Linked DNA regions of Saccharomyces cerevisiae S288C. The gene in region 1 interacts genetically with each later gene. Each region holds a gene or a part of one and is shown on either strand. Other genes may lie near its edges.

The links.
Region 2: mutations in ATG42 (region 1) and HEH2 together harm fitness more than expected from each alone (negative genetic interaction), as found in Saccharomyces cerevisiae (one large-scale study listed by BioGRID).
Region 3: mutations in ATG42 (region 1) and YPS6 together harm fitness more than expected from each alone (negative genetic interaction), as found in Saccharomyces cerevisiae (one large-scale study listed by BioGRID).
Region 4: mutations in ATG42 (region 1) and MRI1 together harm fitness more than expected from each alone (negative genetic interaction), as found in Saccharomyces cerevisiae (one large-scale study listed by BioGRID).

The regions. Positions count from the first base shown.
Region 1 is NC_001134.8:512,800-520,773, reverse strand, and holds ATG42 (carboxypeptidase C), read right to left. Parts: upstream 5,111-7,974; coding exon 3,584-5,110; downstream 1-3,583. Other genes in the region: GTPase-activating protein IRA1, read left to right, coding at 1-3,424; YBR138C (uncharacterized protein), read left to right, coding at 5,438-7,012; YBR137W (uncharacterized protein), read right to left, coding at 7,191-7,730. UniProt on the Saccharomyces cerevisiae protein: Vacuolar serine-type carboxypeptidase involved in vacuolar zymogen activation, breakdown of the autophagic body, and autophagosome-dependent protein synthesis.
Region 2 is NC_001136.10:1,377,547-1,385,775, reverse strand, and holds HEH2 (Heh2p), read left to right. Parts: upstream 1-3,729; coding exon 3,730-5,721; downstream 5,722-8,229. Other genes in the region: CMI8 (Cmi8p), read left to right, coding at 10-252; MFA1 (mating pheromone a), read right to left, coding at 490-600; TFIIH/NER complex subunit TFB3, read right to left, coding at 1,000-1,965; palmitoyltransferase PFA5, read left to right, coding at 2,333-3,457; E3 ubiquitin-protein ligase TOM1, read right to left, coding at 6,180-8,229.
Region 3 is NC_001141.2:427,831-435,925, reverse strand, and holds YPS6 (aspartyl protease), read left to right. Parts: upstream 1-3,814; coding exon 3,815-5,428; downstream 5,429-8,095. Other genes in the region: YIR042C (uncharacterized protein), read left to right, coding at 1-653; seripauperin PAU15, read right to left, coding at 1,623-1,997.
Region 4 is NC_001148.4:763,156-770,879, reverse strand, and holds MRI1 (S-methyl-5-thioribose-1-phosphate isomerase MRI1), read right to left. Parts: upstream 3,129-7,724; coding exon 1,893-3,128; downstream 1-1,892. Other genes in the region: HOB2 (Hob2p), read right to left, coding at 3,386-7,724. UniProt on the Saccharomyces cerevisiae protein: Catalyzes the interconversion of methylthioribose-1-phosphate (MTR-1-P) into methylthioribulose-1-phosphate (MTRu-1-P).

The DNA.
Region 1 (7,974 bases):
CTACTCATTTTTGCATAAATTCTTTTACCTCAATGAGTTTACCATAAGAAAAGAAATTATTAATGAATCCAAATTACCAGGGGAGTTCAGCTTTTTGAAAAATACTGTTATGCTCAACGACAAAATTCTTGGTGTATTGGGACAACCTAGCATGGAAATAAAAAATGAAATTCCTCCTTTTGTAGTCGAGAATCGGGAAAAATATCCTTCATTGTATGAATTCATGAGTCGCTATGCCTTCAAAAAAGTGGACATGAAAGAAGAAGAAGAGGATAATGCGCCATTTGTACATGAAGCAATGACATTGGATGGCATACAAATCATTGTCGTAACTTTTACCAATTGCGAGTACAATAATTTTGTAATGGACTCACTGGTCTATAAAGTTCTGCAGATATATGCAAGAATGTGGTGCTCTAAACATTATGTAGTTATCGATTGTACCACCTTTTATGGGGGTAAGGCTAATTTCCAAAAATTGACTACTCTATTTTTCAGTTTGATACCAGAGCAAGCATCAAGTAATTGTATGGGATGTTATTACTTCAACGTCAACAAATCATTTATGGACCAATGGGCCTCATCATATACTGTAGAAAATCCGTACTTGGTCACTACAATTCCCCGTTGTTTCATCAACAGCAATACTGACCAAAGTTTGATAAAGTCCTTAGGATTGAGTGGTAGGAGTTTGGAAGTTTTGAAAGATGTAAGAGTTACTTTGCATGATATTACCCTTTATGACAAGGAAAAAAAGAAGTTTTGTCCCGTGTCCTTGAAGATAGGAAACAAATACTTCCAAGTTTTACATGAGATTCCGCAGTTGTACAAGGTTACCGTATCAAACAGGACATTCAGCATCAAATTCAACAATGTTTACAAGATATCAAATTTAATTTCAGTCGATGTCTCTAACACCACAGGCGTTTCCTCGGAATTTACGTTAAGTCTTGATAATGAAGAAAAGTTGGTATTTTGCAGTCCGAAGTACCTAGAAATTGTGAAAATGTTTTATTATGCCCAGTTAAAGATGGAAGAAGACTTTGGTACGGATTTTTCGAACGATATTTCATTTTCAACATCCTCTTCAGCAGTTAATGCTTCTTACTGCAATGTTAAAGAAGTTGGTGAAATTATATCACATTTGTCATTGGTGATCCTTGTAGGTTTATTCAATGAGGATGATCTCGTCAAAAACATATCATACAACCTTCTCGTGGCAACGCAAGAAGCATTTAATTTAGATTTTGGGACAAGGCTTCACAAATCCCCAGAGACATATGTACCCGATGATACCACCACGTTCTTGGCCCTAATTTTCAAGGCTTTTTCAGAATCTTCAACGGAACTAACTCCATATATATGGAAATATATGCTGGATGGCCTTGAAAACGACGTGATTCCTCAAGAACATATTCCTACGGTTGTCTGTTCATTGTCATACTGGGTACCAAACTTATATGAACATGTATATTTGGCAAATGACGAAGAGGGACCAGAGGCGATTTCACGTATAATCTATAGCTTAATCAGGTTGACGGTCAAAGAGCCAAATTTCACGACAGCTTACCTTCAACAGATTTGGTTTTTACTGGCATTGGATGGTCGTCTCACGAACGTGATAGTTGAAGAAATAGTAAGTCATGCGCTGGATAGAGATTCAGAAAACAGAGACTGGATGAAAGCTGTGTCAATACTAACCAGTTTTCCAACGACAGAGATTGCTTGTCAGGTAATAGAGAAGCTAATAAATATGATCAAATCTTTTCTACCTTCTCTAGCAGTTGAGGCTTCCGCACACAGTTGGTCTGAGCTTACTATTTTATCAAAAATTAGTGTGTCAATTTTCTTTGAATCACCCTTACTTTCCCAGATGTATTTACCGGAGATTCTTTTCGCTGTGTCTCTGTTAATTGATGTCGGTCCTTCGGAAATAAGAGTCTCATTGTACGAGTTGTTGATGAATGTTTGTCATTCTTTAACCAACAATGAGTCCTTACCTGAAAGGAATAGGAAAAATTTGGATATCGTCTGTGCAACATTCGCACGTCAAAAGTTGAACTTTATCTCCGGTTTTAGCCAAGAAAAAGGTAGAGTTTTACCAAATTTTGCCGCTTCCTCCTTCTCCAGTAAATTCGGAACATTAGATCTCTTCACTAAAAACATTATGCTATTGATGGAATATGGTTCTATTTCAGAGGGTGCACAATGGGAGGCAAAATATAAGAAATATTTGATGGATGCGATTTTTGGCCATCGGTCGTTCTTCTCTGCGAGAGCTATGATGATTCTAGGTATAATGAGTAAGTCGCACACGTCCCTTTTCCTTTGTAAAGAACTTTTAGTTGAAACCATGAAGGTCTTCGCAGAGCCAGTTGTGGATGATGAACAAATGTTCATCATTATAGCTCATGTCTTTACTTACAGCAAAATTGTCGAAGGGTTAGATCCTTCTTCAGAATTAATGAAAGAGCTATTTTGGCTTGCTACAATATGTGTTGAATCCCCTCATCCTTTACTCTTTGAAGGTGGTCTCCTGTTCATGGTAAATTGTTTGAAGCGACTGTACACGGTCCATCTTCAACTTGGATTCGATGGCAAATCGCTAGCCAAAAAATTAATGGAATCTAGAAATTTTGCTGCTACGCTTTTGGCTAAGTTAGAGTCATACAATGGATGCATATGGAACGAAGATAATTTTCCTCATATTATTTTAGGTTTCATTGCAAACGGTTTATCCATTCCTGTCGTAAAAGGAGCCGCATTAGATTGTCTACAGGCCCTTTTCAAGAATACATATTACGAAAGAAAGTCCAACCCAAAATCCTCCGATTATCTTTGTTACCTTTTCTTACTCCATTTGGTCTTAAGTCCTGAACAACTTTCTACCTTGTTACTTGAAGTCGGCTTCGAAGATGAACTGGTACCTTTAAATAATACACTAAAAGTGCCACTTACTTTGATCAACTGGCTAAGTTCAGACTCAGATAAATCTAATATAGTCTTATACCAAGGAGCACTTTTGTTTAGCTGTGTTATGTCAGACGAACCATGTAAATTCCGTTTTGCTCTATTGATGAGGTATTTGCTCAAAGTCAACCCTATTTGTGTATTCAGGTTCTATACGCTGACTAGAAAGGAATTCAGGAGGTTATCAACCCTAGAACAATCATCTGAAGCGGTTGCTGTCTCTTTTGAATTGATTGGGATGCTTGTTACACACAGTGAGTTTAATTACCTAGAGGAATTTAATGATGAAATGGTCGAACTTTTAAAAAAGAGAGGCTTGTCAGTTGTGAAGCCTCTGGATATTTTTGATCAGGAACATATAGAAAAGTTAAAAGGAGAGGGTGAACATCAAGTGGCAATTTATGAGAGAAAAAGATTAGCAACAATGATACTGGCAAGAATGTCGTGCTCCTAATTTTAAATTAGAGTATTGCAGTGATTATATACGTTTTTCCTTATAATTATATTTTGTTTTATATTTGTTGGATTGTAGATTTTAAATTAAATGAAACGTAGAGATTTGTGTAAAGTATAATGATTGCAAGGTTAAGAGTGAAACATTTTTAGAGCACTACTAACTAGCATTTTCCAAGGTGGAAAGATCCGAAAAAGCACGATTACCGGAAATCCAACTGTTGACCATTTCCAAACTTGCCTCCGGTTGATCATAGGGCACCATATGACCGGCATCGTATATTCTCAAAAAGGTGAAAGGGCCATAGTTCTTGACTTGTCCCAACTCTTCACCTGTTTCTTTACTGACCCATGGTCTTAACATCCTTCTCTGATACCTACGTTTATTGATCCATTCCAACTCATTGGACCAAGCATGGTTTCCCAGCCAATTACAAATATAATCCTTATCACCCGCATATATTAATACCGGAATGTTGTGATTTAATAATTCAGCAATATATTGTTGAAATGGTTTACTTCCATCGCCCGTAAACAAAAATCCGGTGAACACGTCATTATCACAGCCAGAATAATTATGCACGTCGGACCCTAGCGTTTCTTGAACTTCAGGAAAATTCATATACTGGTCGACATAGCGGAGACCTGTATAACACATACCATCAGTACTATTATCTTCACAGGGCCCTCTAATGTCATAGACGTTGAGTCCTGTGTTAATGTACGGTTCCAAAAGTGCAGAGTCACAGTAAGCAGTGGCGACTATGCATGGTAAACTTGATTTAGAAGCATAACATAACTTGTTCAACCTACGACAACGACCTGCAGCTTTACTCATTTTCTCACATTCTTCTGATGAGAGAACAGGGTGATAGCCCCCTTTCCCGCATGCCATTGGTTCATAATAATCTGCTTGAATCAAAGGGTCTGTGATACCATTACCAATCATAACTGAAGTTAAATTGAACGTTCTTTCAGGGTTCTTGACAACGATCTCATGTGCAATTTGAGGGATATAATGTCCTGCATAGGATTCGCCTGCAATGTGGAAATCGTTGGAGCGTAAATGAGGAAAAGCTTCAAAAAACAATTCCAGGAAAATGTACGCATCTTTGCCTGCTAATTTTGTAGAGGAGACTTTTTCATCACCATAGGAAAAGCCGACTCCGAGTGGCTGTTCTAAGAAGATCATTGAAGCGTTATTATTCCAAGAATAGGGATTGTGGATTGGTTTCATATCGGCGCCAATTGATGAGGGGCCTAGTTCAAATAGCAACCCAGTAAACGAGGAACAACCAGGTCCACCATTTAACCAAAGAATAATTGGGTCGTTAGCAGGATCGTTCCTACTTTCAAAAAACCAGTAAAAAAAGTGTTTGGAATCCTTATAGTCCATGTAACCCGACCATTGTTTTACGGTGTCAATTCCTAGTTTAGAAGGATCTACTGTTCTAAGTCTCAAACTGTAATCTGTGTCCACAGAAGAAATAAAAGTTGTAAACAGCGGATCATCGTGATTCAAACGGTCCAATTTAAGGGTTTGCTGTGTATTCTGTGGAAGCTTTAGCTGTTTATCCAAATTGGCAAAGGTGGTATCATCTTCAAAAAGAGAAAAGGCTCGGCCGAATGAGGCGTATTTGATGCTAATAAGAAGCTGAAGCACGAAAACTAAGTTTAGATACTTCATTGTATGTCGGTATCACTTTTTGTATAGCTGTTTTAAAGAAAAAATGCAGGATGACAATTTTCGTTCTTATATAACCCCTGTCCCCTGACATTTTTCGATAACGAAGCGTTATCTCACCTTTCGTAGAATGCTAGCGCCGCCTCGGCCATTTTTAGGAAATTTCCTAAATCGCTCACATTGTAAACAAGAACATCTTAGAGAACTCTAAGCACTTTTAGAAAAAAGGATTATACTAAACGAGTCAAAAACTATTTATCCAACAAGTCACAGATTGGAATAGTCTCGAAAACTTGATCCAACCACTAATTAAAAGGTTAAAATTAAAGGATGGAGAAAGATCAAATCCAGCCTAGGGTGTTGGAGTCAGTAGACACAAACTCATTATCCTTGCTTTCGTCCAATACCAGCTCAAATATGAATAGCAACACCAACAATAAACTCAGTATAATTGCCAGTGATATTTCTACAGGATCCGTACTTTCCAGGCCCTTGACTCCTCCAGTCGTCCAGGATATAGAGAATAACTCCATGTTACAATGGCAATTTGAAAAGAAGGAATTTATCTTCGATAGTAACAGCACTCCTTCGAAGCAGGCAAAACCATTGCAGAGAAATTCTCCATACCAAGGCAATAGTCAAAGTGAAAATCAGAACCAACAGTTATTGAATGTAAGAAAGCGTCGCTCACAATTGATAGGTGCCAAGCCTAAAATTCCATCCAAATTGTACCAATCTGTTTCCAAATTAGATCTAATTGATGACAAGAGCTTTACGTCTTTGCCAATTGCGCCTCCATGCAATATCGAAACTAATGAAGATGACAGTGGAAACAACGAATACAACAACAATAAAAAACGGCCCAGGTTGAATCCTGTAAATGAACTGCGAGTGCATAACAACAAACGTAATAGGTACGTCAGTTATGGGCCGAGTTTAGATACAAAAAACTACGAGCTAACAGAAAATACTTCTCAGGATATACCACCGCTAGTCCTGGTTGAAGACTACATACCGTATACCCAAAGTAAATCAACAAAAAAAATGGTATCTATTTCAGATTTGAAATCAAAACTAAGTAAAAGAAGAGATAATCATATCCCGCTGAGAGTAAAAAATTCATATTCTGAAATTAATAAGGAAACCAATAGAAATAGCTTTGAACCGAATTCACTAACACTGATACCCCATATATTAAGGAATACTGAAGAAAATAGGGACGAAAGTAACAACCCCTTAGATTTTATCAAAGAGGAAATTGAAATAAGTGATATTTCCATACCAAATTCCATTGAAAATATGGTGGTTAACTTGGTTAATATTCCATCTTCCAATAAAAGTTACGATGATCTTTATCTATCGGAATTAAATGTTCATTCCCAACTGAGGAAATGTGTCATCTGCGAAAAGGCCCTATATGAAATTAGCTCGAGACTTTTAAATTCAGGATACTATAAAGAAATTGTATGTGAGCAATGCACAGTTAGATATGAAGAAGCCGCTAAAATCTTTGAGAACTGCGAGTTCGAATCATCTATGGATGAATCAAATCTAAGCAGCGGTACTTTTAGTGATCTAGAGAATTCAGCAGAACCGTTTCATTTATCGACAGATGTTCCAAAAAAAATAAATAGGCACATAGAAGATAACAAGATCGACCTTAAAAAGGAAATATCAAAAAAAAAGGACAGCTTCTCTAAGGAACTAATAGAACGATTGCAGTTGCAATTGCTAGAAAATGATAAGTCAATCAAACATCATTTTAATAAAGATGCAATGGGCTCTAAATCAATGAATTGGTTTTTGGAAGCAAGAAGAAAATTGAAGTGGAAGTGGAGAATAAATGGTTTACTTCCGCATTTCTTACGCAATCAAAATAGTGATCGTTTAAATTTTCAACCTTGAAAATACATTGCTAAGAGATCACTAAAACAAACAGGACTGCATTGGTGCTGTGTATTTTTTCAAGGGCAAAACAATCAATATATATATGAAAAGCTTACGACTAAATAACAGTTATACTAGTAACGGGTAAAAAATATTCTATGGTGTTCAAGCCTCTATTTTACTTCTACCTACATTCTCAATCCAAATTCAAATCTTCTTCTAGACTTTCATTAGCAAATGCAATTAAAGAGCTGACTGCCATTAAATGGTCTTCTTCCTGCTTCAATCCACTTATAGTTAAGCAGGCATAGGGGTAGTCACTTCTCTCCGATTGTATTAGGACAGCACCTCCATGGAAAGCGTATTCTTTTGAGTCCACAAAAAACTTTTCCTCCGGTGTTTTGTCACCTTTCTTGCAGCCCATATAGAAACTTGAATGACCAAATCGAAGCGCTGTCTTCTTCTTTCTCTGGATCCAAAAATCATTGTCCAATGCACTGCCACCGTAGGTCACTGTGCGAAACAAGCAATGCCCATTTGGTAAGGAGATATCAATTGCAACTGGTTTTTCGGGGAAATTTTCTTTAACTGCATTTCTTATGTAAGTCCCCAAATCAAAGGCATCTTGATATGTAAAAGTAGACAAAAAGCATCGTTTTTCCATATCTTCGAGCTCTTCTAAGGGAACCTTACGAGAAGTCAATCTTTCCAATAACTTCTTGTCTAAAACCACCATAATAATTTTCTCCGTAGACTTTTTTTGAATAATTTGCTCTTATAATAAGGCTTGATTAGGTTGTTTCTCTTTTGAAATGCGAGATAGTCCTTAATATTATTACGTACGTATATGTTATGTTAACTTATATGGTGTCAACATCCCTGTTAAGAGAGATAGTATGACATGAAGCGGGGATAAGTATCTATTAACTCCGCCGGAGAAAAGCACCTGCAGTGATGGTTAGATCAAGAGGAAGTTCGTC
Region 2 (8,229 bases), on another chromosome or scaffold:
CAGATTATGATGGATAGCGGAAAGAGTGATATAAATAAGCATGCATACAAGGAGACAGCGACCCCGCTGCCCGTAGATCCGCCCTCTTACGAAGAAACAATGAAGCAAGATAAGGAGGAGGTCGAAGCCGATGAAACGACATCTTCCGCACACAGAGACAGCTTTATGAGGCCTGTTTACACTCACCATCCGCATCCAAGATCCCACAAGGGATATCCGGGTGCGAAGACCCTTACATATACTTCACGGTAGGTGGTAAGCGGTATATGTACATATACATATATATATATATATATATATATATGAGCGTGTGCATGGATGTACAACGATAACAAAAGCAGGTACAGGGTATCAAAATATTTTATATAATATAGTTACTTAGGATATTTATTATTAGGTCTAAAAAGAAATATTACGAACAAACATGATATATTGGTGTAGCGGAAAAGGAAGATAAAGGAGGGAGAACAACGTTTTTGTACGCAGAAACTAAGCAATAACACATGCTGGGTCCCAGAAGACACCTTTGATAATATAGTTGTCCTTCTTTTCACTGCTGGTCTTTTCTTTTGGAGCGGCGGTAGCGGTAGATGGTTGCATTTCTATTCGATGGCTTTGTACTTATTTTGGTTTTATCCGAGAAACAGTTACAGATCCCTCTCATTAATTCATTTCTGGCGGTTTATATATGAAGACTCTATTTCATTTTTTTACTTGATTTTCAGCAACCACTGAATCTGTATCTTTATCTCTACCATTTTAGGTTTCTTAACTGTTTTTTCTGATTACTGGGTTTCATTTAACATGTAAATTTCCTTTTTGGGTAATTACACACTCGTTTGTAACAAGAACAAAGAATAAAGGTATGGGCCAACCGTAGCAGTAGGTGCCTTTTTTCTGAACACTGAAACAGATCGTGAATGCATGTATATGCGTACATAGAAAATAAAAAGTAGTTGATTACATAGCTTATGCCACGTTGCACACTATCCTGATGTTTTAAAGCTCCTCGGATATAACACATCCTAAGCCCATAAATGCCTCTGTCAACACCCTTTCGTACGCATAATTAGTGTTGAACCCAGACGCAATAAATTCTTTCCTGTGCTCAAGATCTTTGATGAATGGGTCATTGTATACTGAACCTTTCAACGTAAACCTTGGGTGTGCTTCTCTATCACCGTTAAACGGCGTGAACGGTACAGCATCTTTGAGTCTCGAATTCTGTACGTTCACATTTGAATTGAAATATGGATTGTTTTTCAGAACTCTATTTAGTTCTTCCAATTTCCTTCTAGCGGACGATTTTTTCAATTTAACCGTATTTTTAACGCCTTCGATTGTTTCATTGATATCCTGGGTGGTCGTACTCAACCGGTTGACGATTTCTTTCTTTGTCCACTCTTTGTTCATTCTTTCCTCCTCTTCGATTTGTCTTTCCAACAGTCGCTTCTTCAATTTCATCTCCTTTTCGAATTTTTGTCTCTGTTCGAAACTTTCTATCTCTGTTCTGCTTCTCTCCAAGTTATTCATAATCAGTTGCTTGTTTAATTCCTCGTAGGTGCGTAGTTTCTCCTCGGTCTTAGCCACATCGATCCCGTGATCTAGTTTGTATATAATGTCTTCCACCTCTTCCAAATATTTGTTATATTCCACAAGGTCACCATTGAAGTCATCGATAGTTTTGTTGAACACATTGAACACTCTCTTCCTGATGTCAACTTCTTTCTCAACTTCCACATCATCGAATATTTGGGTCTTGAACTTATTCTTTCTAAGAATCTTGTCACACCCTTTATATGGACACTGGGCAGGACCGAGACTAAATATTCGATCAACACACGACTCACAGATCCTGTGATAGCATTCAGGATTCACCAAAAATTTCACATCCGGAGAAAGGTATCGATCTGTCTTACAGATCGGACACATGTCCTTGTTTTCCTCATACTCATCCATAAGCATTTTTCTTTCACTTATATTTACTTGTGTGCGGGGGCCCACTAATGCTGCAAATCCTAAGAGGAAACAAACTCAAATTTTAACAAGCAGTTCAGTTTCTTAGCTGATGATGAGTGCTGTCTTGTGCGTCTGTTCTGTTGTATACTCTCTTTAGTATTAGTGCTTAAGAACAAATTTACGAGCGAACGGCCCGATTTGGACCATTTAGTCGATTTTTTTTTCCACTATTTACGTTTTAAATAATAGTAGCATAAACACAGCACTCAAACAAAACAACTAATTAGGCGTATATCTGCCCGTTGTAATATTTTCAGAACCTAGCTAAGGTCCTTTCATCGCGACACGGCAGAAATTAAACCGTTGTATATGAATGGCTCTATCATGGAATATTCGAATCAGGCGCAGGTCATGGTTTAGATTCATCTTACCGATTATCGTGCTCGGTTTACTGTGCTACGGTACGTGGGCTTACTGCCATAAACTATGTTACGAGCAAGTCGACAAACGACTTCGTCAGAAATCAGTTTCGGTTGGTCTTATTTGTGCGGTATGCTTCCTAGACGTAGTCGTGATTTTCATATGGCTTCAAATAGTTATCTTGGTCGGTCCAGGTACCCAACCGCACGTAGCACCTTTTTTGATCCTTCCTATAGCCTCTGAAGAGAAGACTAGCAACACTTCTCAAAACACTTCAGTGGAATACGATGCTGTGGTTCCGCCTAAGTGTTATCAGTCTGATCCTCACGGATACCCAATATGGTGCAGTGAATGTCAAAGTCTGAAAATGGAACGAACGCATCATTCTTCAGAACTAGGCCACTGCATTCCTCGCTTTGATCATTACTGCATGTGGATAGGGACTGTTATTGGTAGAGACAATTATAGACTCTTTGTGCAGTTTGCTGCTTATTTTTCAACACTTTTACTTATCATGTGGGTGTCTATTTGCGTTTACATAAGAATTATTACTCAACACAATCATAATTATAGCCCCAATTTAAACGCAAATATAATTTCAACGTTAGTGTTTGCCATCCTTGGATGGTTATTAACCGCAAGTTTGTTGGCATCGAGTATTTTTTACATGAGTCAAAACAAGACGTCTTTGGAGGCTATCATAGATAGCAAAAGGAAAAAATTTGGAACAAGGAAGATATTTTGTTATTACTCGGAAGCAAACAAGTTGAGGTTTGTGGTAGAGTTCGATAGATCTGAATTTCACTCTTTCTGGGACAAAAAGTCAATCTTAGCTAATATAAAAGACTTTATGGGTTCTAACATACTTATGTGGATAATTCCTTTAGGCAAGCCCTATACATCTCGATGCAAATCTGATGGCAAAAGCGGTTCAAAAACAACGCTAGTGGAAATATTGGGTCCCTATGAAGAAACTCTTAGTGACTACACCATTCAGGCCATTGAGGACAAGATATCAAGAGGAGAATATCTGGCCACATTGCGGGCTTCTGGTGACGATAGTGATCCTGCTTACTAAATAGTATTAAATTTTTCAAGCAATTTATATTCTGGGACGAAACTCATGTTACAATCGGTATATGTTTCTATTATCTATTCATTTTAATATATTCTGTATGCGTAGGGGAAGGGATAGTATATACATTTTCTTGATCGTCCTTCCATAAATAGTAAGAGATAAGTTTGAAAAAAATAAAAAAGAAGAGAGATTTTAACAGCAAAGAAACGGTAGGATGAACTTTAACGGACATAATAGTAGAAAAGGAAGTTTCCTATCTTCACTAATCGACAATGGATCACAGAAACCTTGATCCGAAAACGCTGAAGGTCAGCCAATTGAGAAGAGTTTTGGTAGAAAATGATGTTGCGTTCCCTGCCAACGCTAGGAAGCCTGTCTTGGTGAAATTGTTTGAGGAGAAAGTGAGGCAACGTCTCCAATCTTCACCTGAGGCCTCAAAGGTTAGAACTAGCATTCAAAAGGTTGTGAAGTCTGGGGCAAAAAACGCAGATCGCAAAAAGACATTAAAGAGTAAAAAGCTTGAATCAAGTTCTAGTGAGAGTAAAACTGTCAAAGATGAAAATGTTGAAACTAACAAGAGGAAAAGGGAACAAATTAGTACGGATAATGAAGCGAAGATGCAAATACAGGAAGAGAAGTCTCCTAAAAAGAAAAGAAAGAAAAGATCTAGTAAGGCCAATAAACCACCAGAGTCTCCTCCACAATCTAAGTCAGATGGGAAAGCAACTTCTGCTGATTTAACTTCTGAACTGGAAACTGTAGAAGAACTTCATAAGAAAGATTCTTCGGATGACAAACCAAGGGTAAAAGAGCTTCCAAAACCAGAATTGCCGAATTTAAAAGTATCAAACGAATTTTTAGCTCAACTAAATAAAGAGTTAGCTAGTGCAGCTACGGAGAATTATGATCATTCTATAAAATCCACGGACTTATCGTCTATCAGAATCGAAACAGAAGAGCCTGTTGGTCCTTCAACTGGAGCAGAAACAAGAAATGAAAGTGAGGTGATGGAGAATATCAATTTGGAAGTCCAACCTGAGGTGAAGGAAGCAAAAGAAGAACTAACAAAAATATCAGAAACTTTTGATAATCAAGACGAAGAGGATACTAGTAGGTTATCGTCGAAAAAAAATATACGAAGTCCAAAAGGTCGCACCAGGCACTTCATTGCCAACAAAACTAAAAGAGGGATAGATATTATGAAACCGTTTATTGCACATCTCTTCATTTGGTTATGGAATGGTGCTATTTTCCTTTCAATAATATGTCCTATTCTTTTTGGTCTTTGGTATCGAGAACAGAGAATTCAAGTAGGATATTGCGGTCATGAAAAGCCCCTGAAATCTCTTGCAATCTCAGCTTTCCCTCAGACTGAAAGGGTAGATTCAGTGTTGCAAGCTTATCGACCAAATTGTCTCGAATGTCCTGAGCATGGAATATGTTCTTCTTTTATGAATGTTGAGTGTGAACCAGGCTATGAGCCTAAAAGTTCTATTTTAGAAACGTATGGTATTATTCCTTTTCCAAAATATTGTGCCAAAGATGAAAGTAAAGAAAAGGAGGTTGATGAACTGGTTTGGAAAGTAAATGAATATCTTAAAAAGAAGAATGCACAACATGAATGTGGTGAAGGAGAGAATCTCTTTGAGAGTGGTGAAACGGAAACCAAATTATATGATATATTCTCTCATTCTAGACCGTCATGGGAAAGTCAAAGGGAATTCAATGATCATTGGAAAAATGTGCTTGAAATATTAAAGAAAAAAGATGATATTATCTGGCTGCCATTAGATTTTGAAACTAATGGAAAAAGAGAGAAATCTAAATCTAATAACACTAACTATATTTATCGTTCAACTTCAAAAAAATGGGTTACGTTGCAATGTCATTTAGAAGGGGATATACAGGAGTATATAACGAAATATGGTGGTTCTTTATTTATCACCCTAGGCGTCCTTTTCCTTATCAAAAAAATACAATCGACACTTGACAATTACGTTCAAGGAGAGCAGATAATTGAGAAATTGGTAAAAGAGGCAATTGATAAATTGAAAGATGTAAAGAAGAACAAAGGTGAAGAACCTTTTCTGACAACAGTTCAACTAAGAGCTACTTTATTGAGCGACATACCAAATATAAAAGAACAGAATAATCTATGGGCTCAAACGAAAGAAAAAATCATGAAAGAGCAATCAGAGAATATAGAATTATATCTTCTTGAAGAAAATGGAGAGATCATGACATGTTGGGAATGGAAAGAATGATCGTATTTCCGTCTTCAAACCACTTTTTGTTACTTTTCTTTGTTTTGTTTTCGTATTTGAGTTTCTAATGTGATAAGTGACTTTTAATTTTGTAATTTGTTTTCACGGATATTTTTCTTAGGTAAGTGTATTCTATTAATCTTTATGTAAAATATTATAACCATTCGCTGTTTCAATATGGTTTTATAAGTGGAGTTTGTACTTTTTTTACATATCATTTACTGTATCTTACATCATACCTTTTTGAGAAACTTTGGAAGATATTGCTTGTCATAAAAAAAAAGGGCGAAATGCACATGAAATCTGTATTATGTTTCGTTAAGATTAAACGCATTTTTACAAATTAAAAAATCCTTCTGTTCCTCTTCCTTGGGCAAGTGTTGTATGGTTAAAGGTTTAAATAAAAGACGTTCTAAAATACTTGGTTACATGGCGCTATAAATTTACACGAAAAATGATCAGGCAAGACCAAACCCTTCATGCCCTTCATTGATTGCCAATAATAGTGAACCACGCAATGTCTCATATGATTCATAAGGAGGTAAATTCAGTTGATTGAAACAGGTATGTGATGATGGTAGTCTTTCTGATGAACCAAAATCACGATGGATGGAAAATTTACAAACACCGTTGACACCGCTTAGTTCCTTAAACCCATTTAGAGGAACTTTACTAGTACCGGTAACAAACTGCAACAACTTGGCACGTTCTTCAGCGTCGAAGGATCTAACTGCCCTCCAAAAATAACTCACTTCCTTACAGGTTGCGGTGTAATTAACATAAGTAGTATTGTTTTTCCAGTCGTCGACATCAATATCAGGCAAACCGCTGATTAATAACTCCAATTCCTGCTCATCAAATATTGTAATGAGATCTTTGGATATAAGGGCATAGAAACCCACTAAAAAGTTATCCATTTGTTCCTTAACAGATGTCTGAAGTTTATATTCGACAACCTTTTTCACATAATCCTGTTTATTGGCCTCTGTAACTATTATATCCTTGCCCCCCTCAATCAAATTGATAACTTTATGTTCACCATAATCATCAGTTTCAACAGAAAAAGTTTCCTCTATAATATCTGTGATATCGTTTTCAAGAATCCACACCAATGATTTATAATAATCTGGATCAAGAGACTCCATATCCTTCAATGATACAGGCCTACCCAAAATATTCTTGTATACTTCACGACTAAAATGGCAATCCAAAAAGCATTGGTCTCTAATTGCTTTCCCTATAATCATCCCGATAAATTTAAAGAAAGAAAGGTGCTCAGGGTTGATACCTGATGTCCGATTAGGATGGAAAGTAGTTTTATCCGATGGTACAGGAAGAAAAAGAGCATAATCAGGGTTGAACATCTGTCTCGATAGTACTTGGTACCATTCTCTGGTTACCCCACCGGCATCGACACCACTTTCTCCTTTGAATGTTATCTCTAATTTAGAATTCTTGATTTCATCGTTTGTCTTGAAAAATAAGGCTCGATAAGAGTCCAAGAAAACCTGCTCACGGCGAACGGTAATAGGTAATTTAGGACGCTCTTGATTATCAGACTTCAATTTGGCATTGAAGAAATATCTTTTGTTGTCAAAATCCAAAACTTTTGGATTCTTGACCAATAATGCGAAAGGACCACTCATCAGTTTTGGATTTGAACGAATCATTTGATTCAACAACTTCTTGTGTGCGTCTGTAAATGGGAAAAATAAGTTTTCGACACGTGTTTTGGAAAAATCCAATAATTTAGCATCTTCATATTTGACTGCAGTGTTTCTATTTTGACTTAAGTCACTACGCCTGCATACAACCATAAGTGATTCGATCAACGGAAGTAAGATTGTGGCTGAAGTGTTGATGGCTTGACTCTTTTCAAATTGAGATAAGCACTCACTCAATGAGGACCACACTGGTCCGCCGTTCATCTTATCATATAAAGATTGAAGGTCTTTAACGTTGCGCTCTTCCTCTTTTCTTTTGTGAGTGTAAAGAAAATCAACCGTAGTTAAAATTTTCAATAATTTAGCTTGATCAGAACTTGGAAGGGTAAATTTCTGTAACAGCTCTGAATTGATCTCCATTCCGGTGGTGATAGTGCCTACTTCACGTGATAGCCCATCGAGAGCACTCTTTAATTTACTCATTATGCTGATAGCTAAAGATACCAAATGTTTCGTGAAAATGGACATACAGCCTTGTAATTTAGAGAGGTTGTAAATTATATTAAGTGTTTGTTGAAATACTCTTGTAGTACAACTATCAAGCATAATGATGGATAAAATTTTCATGAGATCATCCTCATCAAAACTAGGTAAATGAAACTTTTTGCTTAAATTTTCTTTACCATTTGAACTTGTAGAAAGGACAGCCAATGTTTTAGTACAAACTTGTAATATTCTTGTTAACAAATCCATCAATACGCTTTCGTCTGTAATGAGCTTTCTATCTAAAAGTGAGAATAAATGCCATAAAGGCCATCTTAATTTTTTGTCAGGTAAGGCTTCT
Region 3 (8,095 bases), on another chromosome or scaffold:
CAAGGGCCTTCCCAGAGAAAGTTGTATTGAAAGGTAACACTTGCAGACTAGAACCTCTAGATAGAGAAAGACATGGTTCGGAACTTTTTAGTGCCTATAGTGAGGCAGGCCAAAAATTATGGACGTATTTACCTGCGGGACCATTCACTAACTTGGAGGAATATCTAGAATTCATTAAGGAACTCAATGAAACTAAAGATACTGTGCCTTTCGCAATTATTAATAAAGAGACTGAACGTGCCGTTGGTACATTGTGCTTAATAAGAATCGATGAAGCCAACGGTTCACTAGAAGTTGGATATGTTGTTTTTTCACCAGAATTACAGAAGACGATTATTGCAACTGAAGCTCAATTTCTGTTAATGAAGTATGTATTTGATGATCTTCAATACAGGAGATATGAGTGGAAGTGTGATAGTTTAAATGGGCCGTCAAGGAGGGCAGCGATGCGCTTAGGCTTTAAGTATGAAGGCACGTTTCGACAAGTGGTGGTATATAAGGGTCGCACTCGCGACACTCAATGGTTTTCAATAATCGATAAAGAATGGTTACGCATTCGTAAAACCTTTGAAGAATGGTTAGACAAAACAAATTTTGAAAATGGCAAACAAAAGAGAGGAATAGCAGCAATAAGAGAAAGCTTGTCAAACTGAAAACTCGCCCTCTCTTTCATGCAGGACATATGTATATATAGCATTTTTTGGTTACCATACTGTAGACTAGGATTTTTTTGCAGTCATGTGAATTTTCCGACTTCACCTTCAACAAAGAAAAATCGCATTTACAATGACTAAGACTTCACGCATTTGCGCTGATCTCCTTTAAGCTTGAATGACATTGAAATGTTACGTCGATACCGATAATATTTTGGGCTCTCGGTTTTGATTTAAACCAGGAAGCGTAGCTCTCACCTTACTAAGGCTCACATCATGTCATTTATAGTGTCATTTTGGCCCTAACTATATTCCACCTTTCTTCCATATAATAGTTTCAACCTTAACCTCAAAATGTATCATTTAATTTTTCTCATACTCTATCATATTTGTTATATAAACGTACAAAGATTGTAATGTTAACTATGCTAAAGTACAATTATTCACAGCATACTACACCGCGCTACGGTTCGTTACCAACCCTCACTAAACCCATAACGAAAGTGGGTTATCTTTACTATTTTAAACTATATTTTCCTTTTCTTTTCAGTATCCTCCTTACCGTACTAGCACATTTTTCTTATATGTCTTTTTATTTTCCCATCGTTGAATATATTCAAGTATCCGTTCTGGTTCTACAGTATTTAATATTCACGGGTCAAGACAAGAGCAACTCTACTGCTGTAACAGGTGAATAGCTTGAACGGATTCTGATCTACGAATCCTGTTGTAAAACTGGCCTATTCCGTACAGCTCACATAAAAAAACCCCTAGTTGTGAGAAAGATAAAAGAGCAACTATGCGTTCCCTATTATATTGACGCCCAGCCGGTAGTTCGTGAAAGCAAATGAATTTATAATATTAATATATGTTTATATGTAATCAGCTGTATTTATATTGAAAGCATTTTTTATTTCATTTTTTCGTTACTTTCAATGTCTATGGAATCTCATTCGTAAAGGCATGTCTCTATTTTGGAATAGCAGTGTAAATACCGTCCTTAGATAGAGCACTGGAGATAGCTGGTCTCAATCTGGTAGAGTACCATGGAACACCAGTGATAACTCTGGTGACTTGTTCAGCTGGAATACCAGTCAACATGGTGGTGAAGTCACCATAGTTGAAAACAGCTTCAGCAATTTCAACTGGGTAGGTCTCACTTGGATGAGCTGCTTGAAACAAGTAGTATTGGGCCAAATGAGCTCTGATATCGGAGACGTAAACACCCAATTCGACCAAGTTAACTCTTTCGTCAGATGGAGATAGAGTGGTAGTGGCTGGGGCAGCGGCAACACCAGCAGCGATGGCGGCGACACCAGCAGCGATTGAAGTTAATTTGACCATTATATTTGTTTTGTTTTTTAGTGCTGATATAAGCTTAACAGGAAAGAAAGGAATAAAAACATATTCTCAAAGACATACAGTTGAAGCAGCTCTATTTATACCCATGCCTTCATCAGTCATCACTACTTAAACGATTCGTTAACAGGTGCTCATTTAGCACCTCACATATCCTCCATATCTCATCTTTCACACAATCTCATTATCTCTATGGAGATGACCTTGTTTCTGAACGAATCATACATCTTTCATAGACTTCGTATGTGGAGTATTGTTTTATGGCACTCATGTGTATTCGTATGCGCAGAATGTGGGAATGCCAATTATAGGGTGCCGAGGTGCCTTATAAAACCCTTTTCTGTGCCTGTGACATTTCCTTTTTCGGTCAAAAAGAATATCCGAATTTTAGATTTGGACCCTCGTACAGAAGCTTATTGTCTAAGCCCATATTCAGTCTGCTCTAAACGGCTTCCATGCAAGAAATATTTCTATCTCTTGAATTCGTACAACATTAAACGTGTGTTGGGAGTCGTATACTGTTAGGGTCTGCAAATATGTAAACTCTCGGCGAAGGCCTTGGTGCAATTACGTAATTGTAGCCGCTGAGAGGCGGATGGTATTGAGAGAAGTTGATATTCAAAGAATTGATTATGATAAAAAAAAAAAATTGTAACCAATCCGTAAATACTGAAACTCTTTGCAGTAAGAAATCTTTCATCCCCAGAGAGAACGCGGAAATATTCAGCCTAAGTCTCTCCAAATTGATTTCTTTCATTTTGGTAGCGAAAGACTTAGTATCAACCTCAAAAAGTTGAAATTTTTGTAGATATATGTGCGGATGACATGAAGTATCCAGCTCCTTTGTGAATATGGAAGCAAGTTTCTTTCAAATTATTATCGACTTTTCCTCTGCCCCTTTTACCTTATAACTTTAGGAAACACTACCCTATCCATACTCAACTAAAAAAGTAGTACGTTTTCTTCTTTGAGAGGTATGGTGCAAACCAGTGCAATCTGATTCCAGATTGCCCTCACGTGAGGCTTCAGTAAATCTCGATCCCTCTACATATTACATTATCTCCTACTTGGCAAAATAGATGTGGCTTTAGTTGATGAAAATTTACCACGTCAACTATTTATGTCCTTTCTACAATAAACCCCGACCTACTATCCTCTATGTTGTTTTTAACATACCATACGAGCGTCATATGTCTTTTGGTTCACTGGGGAAGACCATCACTGTTGAACGTTTGTTGAAAAGTTCGAGATGATGAAGATTGCATAACAAAATGTAAAGTTATTTTTAGAAACTATAACGGTTCAAGACATTCAACACTATAACATAGCTTGGCTGGCTTGAACATAAAGAGGAAGAAGCAAAAGCAAGAGTAAAAAGCTTCTCATTTATTTCTGGCATTGTTGATCACCCAGTGCAAGCCCAATTTCGCCTGTGCTTTTCTTAAATTGTTTCTGACAACACCGAGGTTTTCGCTGCAGAAAAGGAACATATGGTGGTAATTTGTATAAGGGGTTAAGGGTCCAAAAATTTGCTACCCTGTCGCTCACTACAGCAAAATATCTCGAGATATCCGAGGAGTTAAAACTGACTAGACCTGTTGCGTAAACCTCATGCAAGCAGTACTCTTCGAGGATTTAAGCTTTGGAACTGCTTTCAAAGTTGAGAGTATATAAGGTGTTATGATCTTGGAATAGGGTTTTTCATCGTTCTTCCTTGTTCTCTTTTTTCATTGGTTGATCAGTTGTTAAATTTTGTCTCTTTCGAAAATAAGGATATTTGAAGACAACGCAAAGCTATCAATATGCAATTGATTTCCATCCTCTCTTTGTTGTCATCATTGATGTGTTCATTGACCGTTTTAGGGTCTTCCGCAAGTTCCTATGTTAAGTTTCCTGTTCAAAAGTTGGCTGATATTATAAATATATGCACACAGGATGTTTCTACCGTCTTCAAAAGAAATGAGGTTCTTAACACCACAGTGATAAATGGAATAGGAGTGTATGTTGTCAAGATGGAAATCGGAACGCCTCCACAAACGTTGTACCTACAGTTAGATACTGGCTCTTCAGATATGATTGTGAATAATGCTGACATTGCCTATTGCAAATCGATGTCTGACGGATCTGACTACGCTTCAACTGATAATTACGAGCTCACAGCAACGTTCAATGGGCTTCCTTCGACTACCATCTCATCAGAAGCTTATAACACTCTCTGCTCTTATTGGGGTACATTCGATGCAAGCAACTCATCTACTTTTGAGAATAATGCGACGTTTTTCAATAACACATACGGAGATGGTACGTATTATGCAGGGACTTATGGTACGGATGTTGTCTCTTTCGAAAATATTACTCTAAATGATTTCACTTTTGGTGTATCAAATGATACAATAGGCAATCCAAGTGGCATTTTAGGCATATCGCTTCCCATTGCAGAATTTACAGATGGTATCGAATACGCATTGGCATTGAACAGAACACCTTTCATATATGATAACTTTCCAATGGAATTAAAAAATCAGGGAAAGATTAATAAAATAGCGTATTCTTTATTTTTGAATGGACCTGATGCACACTTCGGGAGCATCTTGTTTGGTGCAGTGGACAAAAGTAAGTACACAGGACAGCTTTACACCCTGCCTATGCTGCAGGCATTCAATACCCTTGGCTCAAATCCTGGGATGATTATTACTGCACAAAGTGTGGCAATTTTGGATAGTGAATCTGGCAATAAAACTGTTTCGGATATTCAATTTCCAGTGATGTTGGATTCTGGCACAACTTTCTCCTATTTACCCACCGAAATTGCAGAAGCAATCGGCAAAAGTTTTGACGGAGAGTACAGCTCTGACGACCAAGGCTACATCTTTGATTGTTCAAAAGTGAACGATACTTTACTGTCCGTCGACTTTGGAGGATTTAATATATCGGCAAACATATCCAATTTCGTAACATCAGCTAAGGATCGTTGCGTTTTAAATGTTAAGCAATCCGAGTCCACTTATATGCTGGGAGATGCTTTCCTTGTCGACGCATATGTAGTCTACGATTTAGAAAACTACGAAATTTCTATTGCTCAGGCTAGCTTTAATAATCAAGAAGAAGATATTGAGGTTATCTCCGATACTGTCCCAGGTGCCACCCCTGCTCCCGGATACTTTAGTACATGGGTATATAAGCCCGGTAGTCCCATCGGAACAGGAGATTTTATTAATGTCAGCTGGACCTCGTATTCGGAATTTTCACAGTACAAATCATTGCTTGCCACCGCAGCCCAAAGCGATGATGCTAGTTCTTTCTCAAGTAGTGGCGGCTCTAGCGAAAGCACCACTAAAAAACAAAATGCAGGTTACAAATACCGTTCTTCTTTCTCCTTTTCATTATTGTCCTTCATATCTTATTTTCTTTTATAAGTAGAGAAGAGATACATAGTTTCGCAGTGTGTTACTGTGTGGGACTGTATAGGTGAAGCCCTATATACTGTGTAAAAGGCGATGAAACTTTATTATGTTATATATCACTGCTTCATATAAAAATAAGAAACCTACAGCGTAATGATTATACATATGACGAAGACTGTTAACTGCAATAAAGATAGTAACGACCTTATAAGTGCACACTTTTTCCCCAGGGCCAACGCAATGGCGAATATTGTCAAATAAGCTAACAAGAAGAATAACACAGTGCTAAAAAGCAGTGAATGTTTCATCTTCTCCATCGCGGCTTCCTTATCTTACCATTTTTTCTTTACTTACCTTCCACTTTGCCGCCCAGCCCTGACTGTTTTTAAGTGCAGCTAAAAAAATCTATCTAATCACTCGCCACATATATCCTACATAATACGTCATACTCAATGCAAAGGTAGCTTGAGGTATTGTTCTATCAAGTCCACACTATGACGCAAAGAAACATCCGCATTTTCTAATTTAACGAAGTTAATTATATGTCTTTTTTTTTTAGATAACATCGGTTTGATTACCTGCCCCTACATCTTTTAGGTGAATCTTTTCTGCTAATAATCAATTATATGAACTATTAACATTCCTCTTGTTAAAACTACTTTTATAATAAAGTCTATGATTCATTATACTCAATTGAACTGTATAACGCTATAAATTGGTGTAAGAATCCAGGATTAGTGTTAGTAGTATGTAAGAGATACGCCACTCAAAATTTCTGGAAAATATATATATAATGGAAGTGCCCGCTATTTAGAGAGAAGCACAATTACTTTATCAATAGACGGTTAAAAAGAGGGCAACAATATATGTCTGTTTGAGAATATTGCATATCTCGCGAGCTGGACTGTGCTTTTTCCGCCAATATGTATTCCGTACAGATAATATTATTACCCTTACGAAAACATGGTACTGTAAGTTTGTTGTAACAGCGGCTGATATTATTCGTCATTTTGCTATTTCTTGTTTAGGTAATAAAGTTGTTGCCAAACCAGGTACAGTAAATCAAATGTTTGAATTAATTCAAAAAGGGGCGTTTTAGATAAAAAATATCACTCTAACTATCCGTTTATCAAGAATTTACTGATCTTTGACGTCGAAGAAGAGTTCGCTTTACCAGTGATATGAAGGATAAATGAACTTCAAACAGGAGGTATCATCAGTTAAAACTAACAAGTTTTCGGTGTGCCCAGATGATATGTGGCTGAAACAGTTTATAAAGAAACCACCGGTGCTCATGAATGATAAACATGTGAGATTTGATCTTGGCAGAAGCAGCTCTAGCAGCCCAATTTCTTTTAGCACTAAGAGTTTCTTTTTCCTTGACATTCTTCTTCTTACACAAGGTTTGACCGTATTGAGCTCAGAACCACTGTTTGAATAGAGTAGCATCAATTTGAATAGTGGCAACCTTGATCAAAGTCAGTTAGATGCGCTACTCTCGAGTTATTTTGTAATCTTTAATAATTTGCCGTTGTCTCTTACTATTTAAGGTATCGTGATGGGCGCTGGTACTGGATAACTCATACTCAATCATAGAGGTTTGAGAAAAAGATGGAAGGTTTTGAAAATATGATATTTTGACGAACTATGGAGGATTTGCATTCATTATTATTTCATTTTCACTCTCCAAAATAAAAAAATAGTAACAGTGGAAATTTTTTTGAGAATCCGCTTGATCGAAAGTACTCTTGGTATTATTGAGGCTTTTTCTTCTTCAATGGACTCAATGATACTGCACTAGCCCTGAAAAGTAAATAGGAGACGTAGCCAGAATGAAGAGGTGAGCAAATCCGGGCGTACATCAAAACAAAACTAAAAAAGTTCTTAATCCTCATTACAACCCGTTCAATTTTGTTAAAAGGCCTCTCCTACATTGTTATTATCGGTTGACGGTTTTATCAAGAACGTTTGGCATATACAGAGAACAGTATTTAGCGGCATAAAACACTCACAGCATTAAAGTATAAAATAAAAGCAAAATAAACAGAGTTATCCAGATATGAGATTGTCCTTCAAATTCTGTTGAAGATATTGCGTGAAAATGTGAAGAGAAATCTTAGGTAAGATGACCACTGCTGGTATGAATTTGGTAAGCCGATTCATTTCAAGAAATGAACAGCAAAATTTTCTTTCGAAAACACCAGACTTTTTGCCAAGAAAGTGGGAGCAAACTTATAGGTTCAATGATTCAGACGCCGCGTCACTGTAACGGCCTTCATTGAGTCTATTATGATGTTTAGGAGGACGTTGTAAATCATCTATTCGTGCACGAACGGTATAGGGGCGACAAAGGCTCTATGGCTGCCATTATCCTTTTCTTTGGCATCCAAAATGGGGCTCTCTTGTGTTTCTCTCCCCGTATTCAATCTATGAGATATCAATCGTTGTACGTTAAGAACTAAAGTTACTGTCATACATGTGTTATACCAAGCTTCTCCTATCTGTCTTTAACTTCTACTGCGACATATTATCGATATTCTTGGCTAACCGATTTCAACATTTTTCCGAATGCTTTCTATGTATGGTAAGAGATCCTGGAGTATTTTTGGGTAACACAAGAACACGGTAATTTCTTCTTTTTAAGAAAACACTTTGCTTCCAGTGTATTTATCAAGATTG
Region 4 (7,724 bases), on another chromosome or scaffold:
AATAGTTACCCGCATTTGGAATAAAATCTGTCTTTTGGCGGCTATTTCCGCGTGTTTGATTAGAAGGAGTAGTGGTCATTCTAATAATTCCACTGTGCTAATGCACTCGCACTTAATTTTTAAACTTCCGATGCATCAACACTAATGATCATAGCATAAAACGCGTAGAAGGCGATCTTAAGTTTGAGTCCCCCTAAGGCACCTTAGTAGACGGTCAAGAACAGGGTGTGAATATGGGCGATATTCAAGCGAGATTAGGACTTATAAAACAACAACAACAGGGATAACAAAACACTTGACCCCTATTTTTGTAATAAAACCGTTTTCAAGGTAAGGCAGTTAGTAATTTATGTACAACAGAAATTTCTGCCATTTCTTTCACGACAATAACGTAGGATAAGGCCATGAAAAACAAAAATACTAAAGTGCTTATCTAATAAAAGGAAAGGATTAAGCAGTTCCTGCCCATATTTTGGAAAGGCCGTAGCTTAGTTTCCCTGAAATTTACTTCAAGAAAGGTCTGCTTAGCAGTCACATATGTCAATTGTGGGCTGTTTAGTCAAAACCACTTGGAGGTTGATGAATTGATAGTATTTTGGTAAATGAACTAAATATACATTATCAATAAGACGTTGGAGGGGCTTTCTGTATAAATTCACCGAACACTCCCAAATTATGATAAACTTGCTTAAGCATCTTTTCGAAATGCAGTGCATGTGTTAAGTGACAAGCTAAAGGTAAGACATTACGATAATACTCTGTATAGATCGTAGTAACATGAATTATGAAGCATATAAAAATAATATGAAATGTTCATCGAATTTAATAAGTATAAATGCATGAAGATAATAATTCAATAAGATAGATAAACAAAAACGCATGAAGAGAACTTGTAGAACAATAAGCATATATCACCACTCCACTTTTTCTGAAAATTGTGTAGAAATGTAAATTCTGTGATGTTCGTTATGATTCAGTTTCTGTTTCTCAATCTCTATGTCATACTCTTACGCTATATGATAACACACTAGTAGTAGGAAAACTGGTCAAGAGATGATTGTTGTTTCTTTTCCCAACTCATACACCCCAAACAAATGCCTTTATCAAAATCCGATCTCAACACTTATCTTAGTTTACACATTTATCAAATAAGGTTGGCAATGTACCTTTTTCGGAAGGTAAACATCAAATATTTATAGAAATATTTATTAAGGACGCTCTGTTGTATTACGGGCTCGAGTAATACCGGAGTGTCTTGACAATCCTAATATAAACAGTCTTAGGGAAGTAACCAGTTGTTAAAACAGTTTATCAGATTAATTCACGGAATGTTACTTATCTTATATACTATATAAAATATGAATCATACTAAGTGGTGGAAACGCGGAATCTCGGATCTAAACTAATTGTTCAGGCATTTATACTTTTGGGTAGTTCAGCTAGGGAAGGACGGGTTTTGTCTCATGTTGTTCGTTTTGTTATAAGGTTGTTTCATATGTGTTTTATGAACGTTCAGGATGACGTATTGTCATACTGACATATCTCATTTTGAGATACAACACGCTCCGAAGAACTCATCCTTGTTAGCTCAGTTGGTAGAGCGTTCGGCTTTTAAGCGCATTTGCTTAAGCAAGGATACCGAAATGTCAGGGGTTCGAGCCCCCTATGAGGAGTTCTTTACTTTTTTGCACGTTTTACAAATATGCAGAAACAAAGACAATACATATTGTATCAGTTGGTTATAGTGTTTTGGACTTACAAGGTTCTGACAATATACATTAATGTGTTCCTTTTATTGAATGAAAAAAAAAAATAATTCTTACATCTCAATATGAAATTTTATCCTTTACAGTACAAAAGTAATTATTTCGAGAGTCTAATTAGAATGATATCTAGAAAAGGCTTTCCAGTTGAAATTCACCACTGGAATTTTTGGTAAATACACCTTCTTCTGTGATAATTCCGTCAATAAGCTCATGTGGAGTAATGTCGAAGGCTGGATTCCAGACATTGATTTCAAGAGGGGCAATACCGACCTTTCCAGTGATTGGCTCTCCTGACTCATTCAATATCAAGGAACCATTTTCAGGATTAATTACTGTACCAGTAACAACCTTGAATTCCTCAGGGTTACGTTCTTCCACAATAATGTCATCGCCAGTTTCGGTTACATTATCGATAGTTGTTTTGGGAGCTACTACAAAAAACTTAATTCCGAACTGCTTACAAATTACAGCAAGTTGTAAAGTACCAATTTTATTTGCTGTATCCCCATTACGAACAATTCTATCAGCTCCAACAAATGCTGCTTTGATTGGAATTGGACTAGTTCTAATTCTATACGCGATGGAACTATCAGTAATTAAAGTTGATGGAATCTTATCATAAACTAGCTCGTATGCTGTTAGCCTTGACCCTTGATTATAAGGTCTAGTTTCCAGTGGGAAGACATGGCCCATCCTCGGGCATTTTTCATTGTCCAATCCCGAGTCTGCCTTGTCGGTTTTAGCAAGTGAATCCTTCCACAAAGAACGGATAACACCTAAAGCCGTGCCATATCCAGAGGTTGCTAAGGATCCAGTATTACAAATCGTCAGAACGGCAAATTCGTCCTTGAAACCGTCCTTTTGTAACACGTCAATCAAATACTTAGCTCCATTATCACCCATTTTCATGTTATTCGCCAAATCCTCATCTATCAATTCACAGACGTAATTATATAAACTACCGTCAAAAGCCTTTAGGTCACTTGAGGATTTCAGTATGTTCTTTATCTCTACAAGAGAATTTGATAAATTAACGGCTGTGGGTCTACTACTCAAAAGGAAATCTAGCCTCTTATTTAGCACTGTTTTTGTAGATTCCCAGTTAACTAAAGAATACAGCGTAGCAACATCAGAAGTTGGGTTGTGTTTTATTAATTGTACCTCAGTCAAAACAGATAACGAACCCACAATTGCAATTGCCGGGGCACCTCTCACCTGCATACTTTTGATGACTGAGTACCCATCATCAATTGTGTGAATTGGAACGTATTTAGTAGTATATGGTAAAAGTAATTGATCAAGTACCTTTACCGAAACATTTTCTGGCTCCGATCTATCAAAGACGATGGCTTCCAACGACATTTTTTGTCAGCAGTTTGATAGATCACTTTGTCGGTCGTAGATATTGCTCTTAATCTTTTTATTCTAGCATGCTAAATTGATGAATGGGGAATACTTTGGCCGTGCGCCCCATCATCTCATCTTAGTAAGTGAAAAACCGGAAAAACTAACGCCAAGAAGGCCTGTAAAAAAAAAATCTTACTGATTTTCATTTTAGTATATAATACAATTACTATATAACTGAAGAATATTTACGCTAGACACATGTGTGTGTTTCCTCATTTATTTTTTGAAAACTCACTCGTAACAGGGTAAAATGGCTTTACTCCATTTCCATCATTTTCATTATACGTTTCATCTGAGTTTATTGATCTGATATCTGAAGAGTGCGTGGAGCTATAAAATGAATTATGCCCTTCGACTTCAAGGATATGTGAATTATCACGATTTTGAGAATCTGGACTTAGTAATCGATGTATTTCCATAGAAGTTTTTTTCTTATTCTCTTTTTTATGAGGCAAAAATTTGTTACCAATAATATTTCCCAAATGTTGTAAAACTATTCTTACGACGTCTCTTTTCAAAGCAGTAAAAAATTCTTCCCTCGACCACAGTTTGTTATGGTACTTTAAAACAGGGACTCTAACAATCAGGTTATTAACATCGGTCAAAAGGCTGTGTGAACCCTTATAACACACGGACATTAGAGTTTTTCGGATTATAATAGATTTTACATTGAAAAATGTCCCTGATCTTTTGACCATTTCATTGATGTTATAATCAGGTTGCACAAAAAGTGATGCTGACAATTTTCTATGATCACCCTTATGCTTTTTGATACCTTCTTTGCTCTGGATACTACGCAAGTCCCAAGAGTCAACGTCTTTCGCATCGTACACAGATAAAGAACCGTTAGAAAGACTGTGCCGTAAAACTGGAGACGATGAAAAGAAGGAACTAGTGGAAGAACGTGGTACAAGTTCTGGAGAATTGGGTTCTATGGAAGTTTGTTCTATCTTTGGAAATAGATAATTCATTAGTTTTTCCGATGTTTTGTGATCCATCTTGAAAATCAATGGCTGTAGAGAAACAATCAAATCTTGCAGATCTGAAATACCTCCAACTGATGGCCCCAGGATCCAAAAAATTTCTACCATTGGCGCGTTCTTATTATAGGATGAATTTTCATAAAAGGGGGCCAGCAATTCAGTGTAAACGGGATTTTCTTGCTGGTTGAAACATTGTAAGGAAGAAATGGATACTTTATTACTATTAGTGCCATCGGAAGTTTCTGAACGAATAAATGTAGAGGGCCCCAATCCGATAGTCACGAAAGGAGTTTTACTCTCATCGTACAATTCCCATATCAATTCATCTGTTCCAACTTGCCACCTCAATCTTTTCTGTATTACTCTATTACCACTCCCCATCCGGTCGTAAGTTTTCTTGATTGCCGTCATAAGTAACGTCAACTTCAACGTACTAGTTTGAATATCGAAGGTTAGCTCTTGTCCTGATTTCATAAACAATCTTGGCTCGTGAAGTTTGAGGTATGCTCGCGTATAATAGAGTTCCTTTATTCTTTCTTGTAATGCTGTGACAACAGAGACATCAAGATTTTCCAGGTTATTTCTGACCTCATCAGTAAATAATATCCTGGAAAGTTTCTCAACTTTTTCATCCAATGATGATCCAAAGGAAAGTAAATCTTCTGCGATTGCATATACAGCGCAGTATTGTTGACAGTCCGAGGTCAGAACCAATCCTGGAAATGCAATACGAAATCTCGAATCATAAGAGAATGCAGACGTATCATTTGCACTAAAAAATAGGGGATTGGGAGCGACGTAGGTCAAAAACATTGATCTCCGTTTTAGAAAAACATGCTTATCTAATAAAGACCCGTCAAAGCACATTTCAAGAGGAATCCATGGGGGCCATATATCTGACTCTTTGTCGGAACCATATCCATTTTTATGGAAAAATCTACCTTCAGGACCCTCTAAATCCTTTTTGAACAATGTAAACAACTGAATGTCCTTTGAAACAGCGGAATAGCGAGTTTCAACAATAGTATCGACGTCAACGGGAATTCTTTTTCCTGATTTTCCATACACTTGAACTATATCAATTATTCCCATTTCTATATCCCTAGCAGCTAAAATAACTGCTGCGTTCCTTTCAACGTCCGATTTGATCTGAACCTGAGGGGAGATTAGTCTAAAAAGATAATTATCAACATAATCAAAGTCATCACTCGGAACTTCTCTGATGAGTTTCTCAAAGTGCTCAATAAATTCTGAATTACTGGCTAAATCGTCCTCAAGTATTGAACCATAATCTTCTACAGATGTTCTGACCCCAGTCAACACATTTCCCAGTAATTCTTTTAAAATAGTTACGGATTTATAAGTCACAGCAAACCTCATAGATTTCCTTTCGAAAGCACTGGAAGCGTATTCCAAAAGGTGATGCCTGATTTTATTATCGATTTTTAACTCGATATTATGGACCATGAAACGGTTATCATAGGTGGACTCAACCTGCATAGTAGAGGCTTTTCTCATTGATACAAAAGACTCCACGGTATTGGTCCTCAATAGCGATATTCTATTTTGAATTGGCGGTGCATTTTCCAAATTTACATCAGTATCGGAGAGTGAGCTGGAGCTATCACCATCAGTATTTCCTCCAGGAATAGTCTCCGAGATTTTTAAATCGCTCAAGATGGTGTTGACTGTGTGCAATCTGTGGTTTAATTCAGCTACCTCTGCTTTTAATTCGCGTGCATAGCGCTCCGAATTTCCACTTACCGAACCTCCGCCTTTGTTCGATTGCAATTCGCTTAACGTAATATGTAATAATTTTAGTTGTTCTTCTATTTCTCGTTTTCTTTCAGTTGCTAATTTCTCCTGCGTCAATTCTGGATGATTCTTGCCAATCAGACAATTGTGAGATTCTTCGGTACCAAATGGGTAAGCTAGTACGTAACCATCATCATTTATTTTTCTAAAGTAGGATATTCTAGGAGAGTATAGCAATGGTATTGCTTCTAATTTTAATGGAAGTGAGGAACCAAGCGGCACTTGATTCAAGTCTATATAATCCTCATAATCATACCAATCTGATTCACGCAAGTATTCCACATCTTGAGGCGTAATAGGACGTGATGGCTCGTCTTCAAGTATGCCATCGAGTCCAGAAGTAAGAATTTCCTTAACTGCTTCCTGATCAAACAGAGTTGATAATATCCTAATATCTGCTTCTGCACAATCAATCTCACCCCTAGACATCTTAAACTTCCATACAGGTTTTGACTTATTTAATTTTTGGTTCGTATGGGTCAGTTTAACTCTTTTTTGATGCAAATCAATTTTCAGTGAATCAAACCTCCCTTTCAATCCAGTAAAAGTTATTTTGCGGTCTTTTTCAAGATCATATTGAGTAGTAATATGCCGATAAATATGCGTAACCATTAGCCGTTTTAAATGTAGCTGATAAGCTATTGTAAATAATGAGCGACCAAACTTTGTCTTGTTTTGAAGTACATCCGTAAATAACCGTCCTTGCCTAATAGGACCAGATGTATATGTATGAAATAAATTCCACCACTTAAAGAAATGTGTTAAAGCGTAAGGTGCGAGATAGAGACTATTTATGGATCCGTGCTCAGAAGAATAGACACCAAATGACATGTGGATAAAAGATGTTCTAAATCCTTTGTATGTATCATGGTGATCCAAATCTGCGACTCCATCTGGATTCATCAGCTGTATTTCATAATGTGGCCTATTTGGAAGGAACCTCTCTTCGTCACCAGCCTTAGATATATCGCCTTGTTCAAAAAGTAAACCTAATGTCCAAATTACTCTTCCATCGAGCTTCATAAAGACTTTATCAAATTTACTAACTTTGGCAAAGTCTGGCACTGCCAACTGAAACCTTTGGGATTCAATTTTTAAAAACTCTTTAGGATCCGTGGAGTTATGAACGTAAATTGTGGTGCCACCAGACCAGCAGAACGCCAGACCCGCACCATCATCTGTAATCTTATAAGGATCATGTGAACCTTTAATATTTAAGTGGATCTCACTTTCCTCTGAAAACTCGTATATCCACTTCCCATGCACTAAATATCTGAATTTGTCCCAAAATCCTAGCTTTTTGGACGGATCGATGAGAGGTTTGGTTAAAAAATCAAACCAAAGCATCAAAGACTCATAACCGGGTTGCAGAGATTTCCCCCATGTTATTCTGGCAGATGAAGAAGATGTAACCATTGACCTAATATTGAAATATGTTTTGACTGAATTAATTGTACGAATGATGTGCAAACCATATATTGTATTGGCGTCATTATAGGGGCTTCTTTGGGCAGAGCTGACAAAAGGAACATAAACAGTATGAAGCGCGCAAGGTGCTGGCATCTTTTCAGCAAATACAACATCACCTGTTGTAAATGTGTCGGGAAATGATATAGCAGGTATTGGATAATCTCTCAGACGCAACTCCCATAACGCGCTTTTGATTTTGAGGCCAAGAATAATTAGCAAAGTGTACTCCGTAGATTTTGGAACTTTTTTTCCATACTGGTAAACAAAATCCATATAATTGTCT